Linked DNA regions of Ovis aries. The protein of the gene in region 3 purifies or fractionates together with the protein of the main gene of each other region. This does not show direct contact. Links are inferred from orthologs where the notes say so. Each region holds a gene or a part of one and is shown on either strand. Other genes may lie near its edges. The genes, in order: FXR1, FMR1 and TDRD3.

Region 1 (2,311 bases), on a different chromosome or scaffold from region 3:
TGATCACTTGTTTACCCAACTAGACCAGAAATATTTTGGTTAAAGACTACTCTTGATTTTGTTTTTGGCCCCAGGTAACTGAAGATATGCATGCTTGAGCCTGAAATATTTTTCAGTTAGAACTAGAAATAGTATTTATAAAAGATATTGGGCATAGAGACTGTTAACCTTAATTTGGGGAGCAATAGGCTGAATAGACCCTCTTCAAGTGGTGGATAAAGACCTTTGTTTGAATTCTTTGAAATATTTTAAGGGATTTGATACGTAAATTTGAGTTTCCAAAAAAGGTGAGTAAATAGGTGGTTGTTTGCCTTACTTAGGGTATTAACTGTTTATGTCTTTTTGTATGGTGAGTTTTCCAGTGGTTAAAATGAAATTAGGTGCAAGTTTTCAATAAACAGGTACAGATTCTTCCTGTGGCTTATATACTGCTAGCTACTAGAGATAAAGAGTTGAAAGACCCAGAGAGGTGGAATACATTGGGTTTTTTTTTTTTTTTAATTTTAAGAATGTTTTAATTCAGATCATTGTGGTATGTGAAACTAAAATTATTTATTAGCTAATTGATGTTTATGTAGTTATTTTCCTCCTCAGTTATAGATTTTATTTATAAAGAAGTTGAAAAAGTTGTCTCCCTTTGGCAGGCAAAAGATGTGATTGAAGAGCATGGTCCTTCAGAAAAGGCAATAAATGGCCCAACTAGTGCTTCTGGCGATGAAATTTCTAAGCTACAGCGTACTCCAGGAGAAGAAAAGATTAATACCTTAAAAGAAGAAAATACTCAAGATGCAGCAGTCCTGAATGGTGTTTCATAAACTGAAGAAGTTCCTAGTTTACAGTTCTTTACATTACATTTTACAATAGTGCTTGTACAAGCTTGCCAAAGATAGAATATGGATCGCCAGTCTTTCCATCGCACTTTCAGTTCCTCCATTTGGAATTCAGAAAGGGGAGGGATCCTGAAGAAATCATATGTTAAACATACTTTGACACCTACTGTGTTATATATCATCAGATGTGCCTTGAGAATAGTATATGTAACATTAAAAAAAGTTGCTGGCTATAGGAAATGTTATTTTGTTTTCAAAATATGGCAGAGATGGGGGGGAGGTGGGTGGGGTGGGATCCCTAAGCTAATATTCTTTATGAAAGCATTAGCTGCTTTTGTTACATTTTTAATAATATGCAACCACTTCTTCACCTGAGGAAAACTAGAATGAAATGCAGTCTAAGATATTTTGCACTGAATTGTAATTTCTTCATTAGTTTTAGTCTGGAAACTGGTCTGTTTTAATGTGTTTTTAAAATGCTGTATTGTAGAGGAAAATCTGCAGACCACTGGAATACATTTGTTAAACACTCATCTGCAGGGACACTGGGTGTTATTGGCAGTGACTGTTCTACATTGAGGCTTTGTTTGGTTTATTTATTAAAGTGTACAGTATTTAAAAAATCAAACATAGCTTTAGTTAAAACACTAAGCTGAATTAGTCGTGTCCATTCAGACATAACCTGAACTACTGAAAAGATCAATTTCCAGAAGGTTTATTCTGTATAAACTACATGTTAGTCTTCAGTAGAGTATCTTTTCTTTTTCCTCCCTTTTTTCTTTTTCTTTTTTTTTTTTTCTTTTTGGTTTTGATTGTTTGATGTGCAATATGTTTTTGTATGCAGGTAGTAAATAAACTTTTGATCTTCCATTTGCTGATTTTTAACTTTCTACTTTTTAAACCAACTGTTGAAAAGTAGTTGGACCTACCTAAAGGCCTAGAGTAGTATTCTGATTGCTTTTTAAGATGCATTTATACTTGTCCATAAATAGTATTAAAATATTAGTTGGTCATTTTGTAATGAATCCTCTGAAGTCTTAGTACTTAAAAATTTAGTATGTTAGAATAGAATGGTTTAGGGAATTGGTCTCAGAGATTTGATATTAGGAAAGTCTTTGTAACAAAATTCTAGTCATAGGCAACTTTTGGAAGGCATTCGGGTAAAATCCAGAATTTTACTTTTGCCTTTGAGTCTTCGTTATTTTTATAAAGTATAATGAACAGTTTTTAAATAAGGAATGTCACTGATTTTTGGTTTTCAAGGTAATAATTTTAAAGGTTCTCATATTAATGATTGGATTTTTTGTAAATATTTTGTCCAGATGGCATAATGTTAGGACTATACAAACTTTTACACAAAGTAAAAGTTTGCAAGCTGATAATAATTGTGAATTTGTGGGAGGGTTTTGCTCCACAATATTATATAAAGACTACTGAGCAAGAAGAGGGAGCCCTTTTTGTTCACTTGGGATCTGAGAAGT
Region 2 (3,660 bases), on a different chromosome or scaffold from region 3:
CCTTTCTTATGGTGACCAGTACAAAATGGAAGAAATGGGGGCTTGATAGTATGTCATTGAATCACCTAGCTTTTTCATAGAACTTCAGACAGTTGTTACAATTCAGCTTCATTTCTTAAACGAAAAACCCTCTGTACCTTTGAAGCTGCCTCCACGTCCTCTTCCTCCTTGTCCTCTTCCTCCGCCGCCACGCCGCCGCCCGTCTCCTCTGCGCAGGAAGTTCTCCCTCTCTTCCTCTGTTGGAGCTAATGACCAATCACTGAGTTCATCTCTGTGGTCAGATTCTGTTTCAGAAGCATTTGATGCTTCAGAATTAGTTCCTATCGAGAGTTAAAAGTTATATACCATTGTCCGACTTAAAAAAACGTTAGGTTAACAGAAACTTCCAGAGACGTTTCTGGGGGTAATCCATTACACTTCCCAATTTATAAGCCCACCAAAGAGTATATATCACCTTCCATTTTGTAAAACAAATTATCTTAAGTTAAAATGAAGGTTTTCACGATATTTGAGGTCAATTTTGTTTCAAACATTTTTGGTTCTCATTTTAAAAAAAAAAGGAATTCTATTAGCCATCTAAGTTCAAACCTGAGTATGCCACATCATTTAACAGCTGTGCTCCTTTAAACATCTGTGCTCTCTGGAGGAAAAGTTGCCTACAACAATTAAATGCAATACCTTGATAAACAAAACTTCTAGAAAGAGAGTTCCTTTTAACAAGGTTTGGCCAGGGACAAAGGGGAATGCACACATTTTGGTCATCTTAGAGAGGGTGGCAAAGGTGGCCATCGTGGCTACTATCTCAGGGAATGGTCTCTTGTGAGATCAGGGATTGGACCTCGTTGAATGGGGATATGCTTGTCTGATGCTTGGTCCACAACCTTCCCTCCCACTCCCGCAGGAATAACTGATTATTAGAAAGGATTTACTGTAGTCAACTTATTATGCCTGAGGGGGTGGGTTAATAACACAGGGGATGGGAGATGGGAAAATAACTTCTTGGTGAGGGGGAACCTTCCACAGCATCAAGAACAGACTGTTGGGAAAGGGATGAGGGCTCAGGTTCAAGGTTGGCCTTAGGAGTAGGTAGCTCTCTCCCCCACTCCAGAACAGCAACTCTACTACCTCTCTCTTCCTCTGTTGGAGCTAATGAGCAATTATAGCTTCACCATTATAGCTTCATTCCTGTGGATCTTGAAGGCTTTTCCATCTTACAGAGTTCCTTTTTGAAACGCAAATATTTGTGAGATGGATTATACCTTATACCATCATTAGCAAGTTACATAGTAGATACACAGTTGAGCAAGACAGTAGGCACGGGCAGTGGGATAGCGTTCAGTGAAAGGTACTGGGAGAGAAGAAAGAAGCACTGAGAGAAGAGCTGGGGAGGCAAAGAGAGACTTCGCCTACTTCTTGACTTTGCCTAGGGCTGACTTTGGCCATGCCACTCAAAATCACCTTATGAGCCACAGGATGCAGACCCCTGATTTACACAGTCCATCCAGCAAGTATGACCAGCACATGCCTGACGAAACATGAGCCACAGTACACAAATGAAAAAACTTTTGGCTATATAGTAATAAAATAAGGAAAGGCCTTAGGAAAGGCATTAGCATACAAGGGCTTAAGCAGATTTATCCCCAGTCAGACTGTGGACAGAACTCACACCTGCCCTGTGAACTCTATGGGTTATTATCAGGTTTTTCACTCTATGTGTCTTGCAACACAATTTGACCCACTGTGAACTGGAAACCATGTAGTGAGAAATTGTTATAATGGGGTTCTAATGAATATTAGAGATTAGCAGCTATTAAGTCTAGGAACAGATAAAGTTACTGAGTAAAATGCTTAGTTTGTACCTGAAGTATATCCAGGACCGCGTCTGCCGTGCCCCCTATTTCTGTAAGGTCTACTACCTCGACCCAGTCCTTGACCATCATCAGTCACATAGCCTTTTTCCTTATCTGTACGATTTGGTGGTGGTCTAGAACTAGCTCCAATCTGTCGCAACTGCTCATCAATTTGTAATCTCTCCAAACGCAACTGGTCTACTTCCTATTTAAAATATACAAGATAACAGTAAAAATAATTTGACATTTTACTTAATAAAACCTTTCTCCTTTTCATCAGATAAAAAGTATACTGGAAATATTTCAATTTCAGCTCTAAGTTTATAGTAAACACTGTTACACAGAATTATCAGGAAATTGAATGGTCTCCTTAAAAAGAAAATTACTACAGATAACATATTATTGATGTCCAGAATTAAGAGACAGAACAAAAATACTCAGCATTAAAATTATACTGAAAGAATTTAAAGTTATTTAATTTGGCAATATTATCCAATAGATCTGCTAAGGCACAAATATGGTAGTTTTGGGACTTCTTGATAATAGGTTATTGAATAAAACAACTCTAAAATGTATGAATACAGATAAATGACATTTAAGACTTAACCAGCTAAGCTTAAAAATCACACATTGTAAATAACCTTAATTAATGAAACACTGAATTTGGGCCATCTTCTACTTTCAAAGAACAGGAACTATCTAACAGTTAACCCAAAAAATTGGATATCATGCCTTGAAAACCTCTTAAAGACTACAACTCTGCTAAGACAAGTATGATGAACAGTATAAAATCAATTGACCAAAATATACACCTGGGGTCCACTAACAGACCCTCACACACAATGCTTCCAATATGCTAGGTTCTGTCAAAACCAGATGATGTCTCAGTTCTAACCCTTCTCCTTCCAATCTATTCATAAACATCGATTTACTAGCTGCAGGGAACTGGGTCCACAACTAGAGTAGTGGTTGGGTGTCTCAGTCAAGCAGAGGCAATCATAGGGACTGTCCACATGAACAGTCACTGGGGAAGCCCCTGTAAAGCTAAGTTCTTAAAATCTTAGTACAGCAGTTTCAGGAAAAGGGCAGGTAAGGATCTAGACGAGTGTCATCTGTGCTTTGAACCAGACATTGTTTTACAAAGGACTTAATTAAAGGAGAGACTGCCGCTGAGTGGCTTACTCCAAAAGTACAGTCATAGCTCATGGAATGGGTGGATCTTGCAAAACAGAATGGTAGTCCAGGTTATCCCATGGGGGCAAAGCAGTCACCACTCGGTGAGAGATGCAAAGCCCACTCAAGGGAAGATCTGGTGATGGGAAGCATGGCAACAGGACAGCTGCTAATAATCCAAAAAGATATTCAATGTGAAATATAAAGCAAAAGATCTAAAGAAGAACACTGGTTAAAAGAACAAGGGACTGATGCAATGCAACCTTAAATTTCCAGGTCTTCCACATTATTTAAGCTAAGAATAGGAAGAAAAACACATACAACAGATTACACATAAGACACACTTTAAAACAAAAGTGAATAAGCAAATCAATGGGGTATCCTACCCACATAAACCTTGCTGGATGAAACCTCTCCATTTTCAATTATTAATTGACCACCATAAGAAGGATAAGAAGTGCCTAGCTACTATGTGTTTCTTCCTTATTTACATGTAACTATAAATTGCTTCATTTTATTTAAGAAGTCAGCAGAAAAATTCTTAACAGGATAGCCTCATAAATACAATAGAAAGTTGGATTACTTTAAAAATAACATTTACTACCTGTTACAGTATGTTTTTGATACATGTGGATAC
Region 3 (3,660 bases):
GCAGAATTGATGCGTTTTAACTGTGGTGTTGGAGAAGACTCTTGAGAGTCCCTTGGACTGCAAGGAGATCCAACCAGTCCATTGTGAAGGAGATCAGCCCTGGGATTTCTTTGGAAGGAATGATGCTAAAGCTGAAACTCCAGTACTTTGGCTACCTCATACGAAGAGTTGGCTCATTGGAAAAGACCCTGATGCTGGGAAGGATTGGGGGCAGGAGGAGAAGGGGACGACCAAGGATGAGATGGCTGGATGGCATCACTGACTCGATGGACGTGAGTCTGAGTGAACTCTGGGAGTTGGTGATGGACAGGGAGGCCTGGCATGCTGCGATTCATGGTGTCGCAAAGAGTCGAACACGACTGAGTGACTGAACTGTACTGAACTGAACACCCTCTTTATTCCTCATCATTCATTGAACACAATGGGGCCTGTTTCCTGATCCTAAGCCATACAGCATCTCTTAAAACATCCTACCACACTTCCTAGCCTAAATTTCATTCCTTGAAATCTTCAGGTAACATTATCTCCACTATTCCTTCCAGTCACACATATGGGCACAGCCATCTCAACTGAAAGTACTCTATACATAAAATATTTGTTACAAATATATTTTTCACTTGATCTTCACATTCACCTAGGTCCTTCACAATAGTTTTCCTAGTACGACTACCTCTGGTTTTTATTACCTTGCTAATATCTCCAGCTGACTCATTGGAAGAGTCCCTGATGCTGGGAAAGATTGAGGACAGAAAGGTTAGAGGCTGTCAGAGGACGAGATGGCTGGATGGCATCACCGATGCAATGGACATGAAGTGGGGCAAACTTCAGGAGACGGTGTGGGACAGGGGGTCTGGAGGGCTACAGTCCATGGGGTCGCAAAGAGTGGGACATGACTGGGTGACTGAACAACAACAATATCTCCAGTGCCCTAACCACTCAAGTTTTTTTCCTATGCAAGTGCCTCCTGGGACTGTGAGAGGAAGAGGGCAATAGAGAAAAACTAGAGAGATATGGTCTTGTCTTCAAGGGACTTAAAATCATGGCAGGGGAAACAGTTATCAATATAGGAACCAAAAACAAAAATACTTACAAACTGTGATAAGCTTTAGAAAGTGAACAAGGCACTGATTGAGACAGACAATAATGTAGAAAGGAGGAGGGTGCAGACAAAAAAGGCTTCCTCTAGGAAGTCTCTGAGCCAAGTCTTCAAGGATCAGAAGAGCAGTTAGTGGAGGAGCATGCTGGGCAGAAATGGAGACACAAACAAAGTCCCTCCTGTCTGGGGGCCCTCTGGCCTCTTCCTTTCCTGTTCTCACTGTGTCGGTCTTCTTCCTTTTTCAGGCTCTTTTATCTGATTCACTGTATTCCTTCTCAATCTCATCTTGTATCTTTCCATTTCCATTCCCCACCCCCACTTTTCCTTTTAGCCAGTATATAATGTAGAACACAAGGCTGTTTAAATTATTGGTTTAATAACTCTTAAATTATTTATTGTTAGCTAAATAATTAACCTTCCTCCTCATAATGTTTTTAAAGTAGGTTAATTATGTATATTATCTTTAAGTTAAATGACATCTGCAGAACTTAACTGTGTGCCATTCAACTGATTTGCTTCCTTATGAATCAGTACAATTTTATTAGAAAGAAAAGCAAATATTAAGTAAAATAAATAAAATTATTTATTTTATTAAATTATTCATTTTATTAAGTAAAATAAATAAAAGTAAATATTAAGCTCAGTAGATGATAACTAAAGTAACTTGTCAACCTCATTTATTCACTTTTACAATACTTTTCTGATATGCAAGTGAAAATCAAACCTAACAACCAAGTTATGGAACTCCTAAGCATCCATAAAAAATATTAAATATTTTGCTCTTCCTTTGATAAGTTACATATGCATACATCTGTTCAAAGACTATAAACAAGTACAACCAGAGACTGAAACCCTGTCCCAAAGCCATGGTGTTCTACGGTCTCACTAGACTGTTACATTCAGTAATATTAGTATTTAATAACTTTACAGCATGCATACCTTGTTGTCTTCCCAATAAAGTGCTAAACATTCATCTCCAGATTTCCACAGTTTTGCATACTCCATAGGAATAGATGATTCTAGTACTTTTTCGGGTTTAATTGGCCCAGATCTTCTTTTGGGACCACTACTGTAAAATATTTTATCATCATAGGATGAAGCCGTGATGGGTCCTGCTGGCTTAATAGGTCCCACTCGCCTTCCCTTCAGTGGCATTTCTGTCTCTCCATTTGGAACACCAATGAAACTATTCGTTCGGACAGGATTCTGGTGTTCAGTATTCATATTAAAATGTTTTTCAATTTTTACACCACTAAAAGCTTCATTATTTACTGTTCGTGGCTTCCTGTCATAAAAATGATCCGAATTTGCTGTTTGGTTTTCTCTTTTCCCACGTTTGTGATTATTATAATCTATGGATTCTTGAGGAAAAGGATTTTCTTTTGCCTCTGCATAGGATGGACCTTTTCCTGATCGGCTTTGCATACAGTTATCCCTTTTTGTAAATACAGCATCACTGTGTGGGGAACTTAAAAGGTAAGAAGTATCTTTAGTTCTATCGTATCTAGAATATGATCTATCACATTTGATTCTCTCTTCAGCCCATACTTCAGATCCTGAAGAAGTACTTGGTCTTTCAGAACCTCTGTTTCTAGGTAATCCACTGCCTTCTAAAACTGCCTTTGAATTTTGGGTGTCTCTTTGAAAACGAGGAGGTTTTTCATTTCTTGGCTGTCTGGTATCATTTCGAGGAAGATATCGTGGTTGATTATTATCTTTTACTCCATTTTGCTCAGTATTTGACATTCTGTTTTGTCCTTGATGAAGCTGCTGCGGCTGTGATTTAGGTTCTGAAAAGTAAAAGTAATCATATGCATATTAAAATGAAGACTGCATTAATACTTAATTATCAAACTACTCATTTAACATCTTCCCACCTCATTATCTTAATCTCTCTTTGCTTGGTTAGACTCTTATGTTTCTAATGTACAGTTTGCCTGGTTAGCCACATTAGTGAAGTAAAGCAATGATATGAACCATGAAAAAATGGTGGATATTCAAAAGCAAGTTGTCTTTGTTACTGAATATTTGCATTGTTATGGCTATCTATACATGCTGCTCTGGTAATTCATTTCCCAAGACTGGTGAAACAGAACTACAAACTTAAACCACAGAAACTGCTATGAAACTGTACAAGTATACCTCTAGCTCAGTTCTTTTCTGAGTCCCCACCTCATTTTAAATGTATCAATCACTGTCAGTCAAGTTCTAGTCTTAGCAAAAAAAAAAACAAAAATTTCTCAGTTCTTTCTGGATCTGGAATTGCTAAGTATTTGGATTACAATTAGATATCTATTTATAAACTTTCCCTGGTGAAGGACAGGGAAGCCTGGTGTGCTACAGTCCACGTGATGCAAAGAGGCAGACACAACTGAGTGAATAATAACATAAACCTATCAAAGAACAGGTACTACTTGGAAATACAGGGGCAAAAGTGTCAAAATCTGATTAAGCAAAATAGCACAGAAAATGTCCAACCAAAAATCAAATCAGTAACATGGCATATATACATATACCTCACAGATAATCTGATGGTTATATTTCACATAATGATCTTTATTCTC

What was found.
Region 1: the proteins of TDRD3 (region 3) and FXR1 purify together in Homo sapiens (affinity purification with mass spectrometry; 3 studies listed by BioGRID and IntAct, with this or other methods). This does not show direct contact. The link is inferred for Ovis aries from reciprocal best matches to the Homo sapiens genes TDRD3 and FXR1.
Region 2: the proteins of TDRD3 (region 3) and FMR1 purify together in Homo sapiens (affinity purification with mass spectrometry; 4 studies listed by BioGRID and IntAct, with this or other methods). This does not show direct contact. The link is inferred for Ovis aries from reciprocal best matches to the Homo sapiens genes TDRD3 and FMR1.

The regions. Positions count from the first base shown.
Region 1 is NC_056054.1:206,880,308-206,882,618, reverse strand, and holds the end of FXR1 (RNA-binding protein FXR1), read left to right. Parts: intron 1-644; coding exon 645-815; 3' UTR 816-1,700; downstream 1,701-2,311. UniProt on the Homo sapiens protein: mRNA-binding protein that acts as a regulator of mRNAs translation and/or stability, and which is required for various processes, such as neurogenesis, muscle development and spermatogenesis.
Region 2 is NC_056080.1:87,704,793-87,708,452, forward strand, and holds part of FMR1 (fragile X messenger ribonucleoprotein 1), read right to left. Parts: intron 2,056-3,660; coding exon 1,860-2,055; intron 1,147-1,859; coding exon of another isoform or gene 962-1,146; exon of another isoform or gene 321-961; coding exon 138-320; intron 1-137.
Region 3 is NC_056063.1:1,957,249-1,960,908, forward strand, and holds part of TDRD3 (tudor domain-containing protein 3), read right to left. Parts: intron 2,887-3,660; coding exon 2,036-2,886; intron 1-2,035. UniProt on the Homo sapiens protein: Scaffolding protein that specifically recognizes and binds dimethylarginine-containing proteins. Plays a role in the regulation of translation of target mRNAs by binding Arg/Gly-rich motifs (GAR) in dimethylarginine-containing proteins.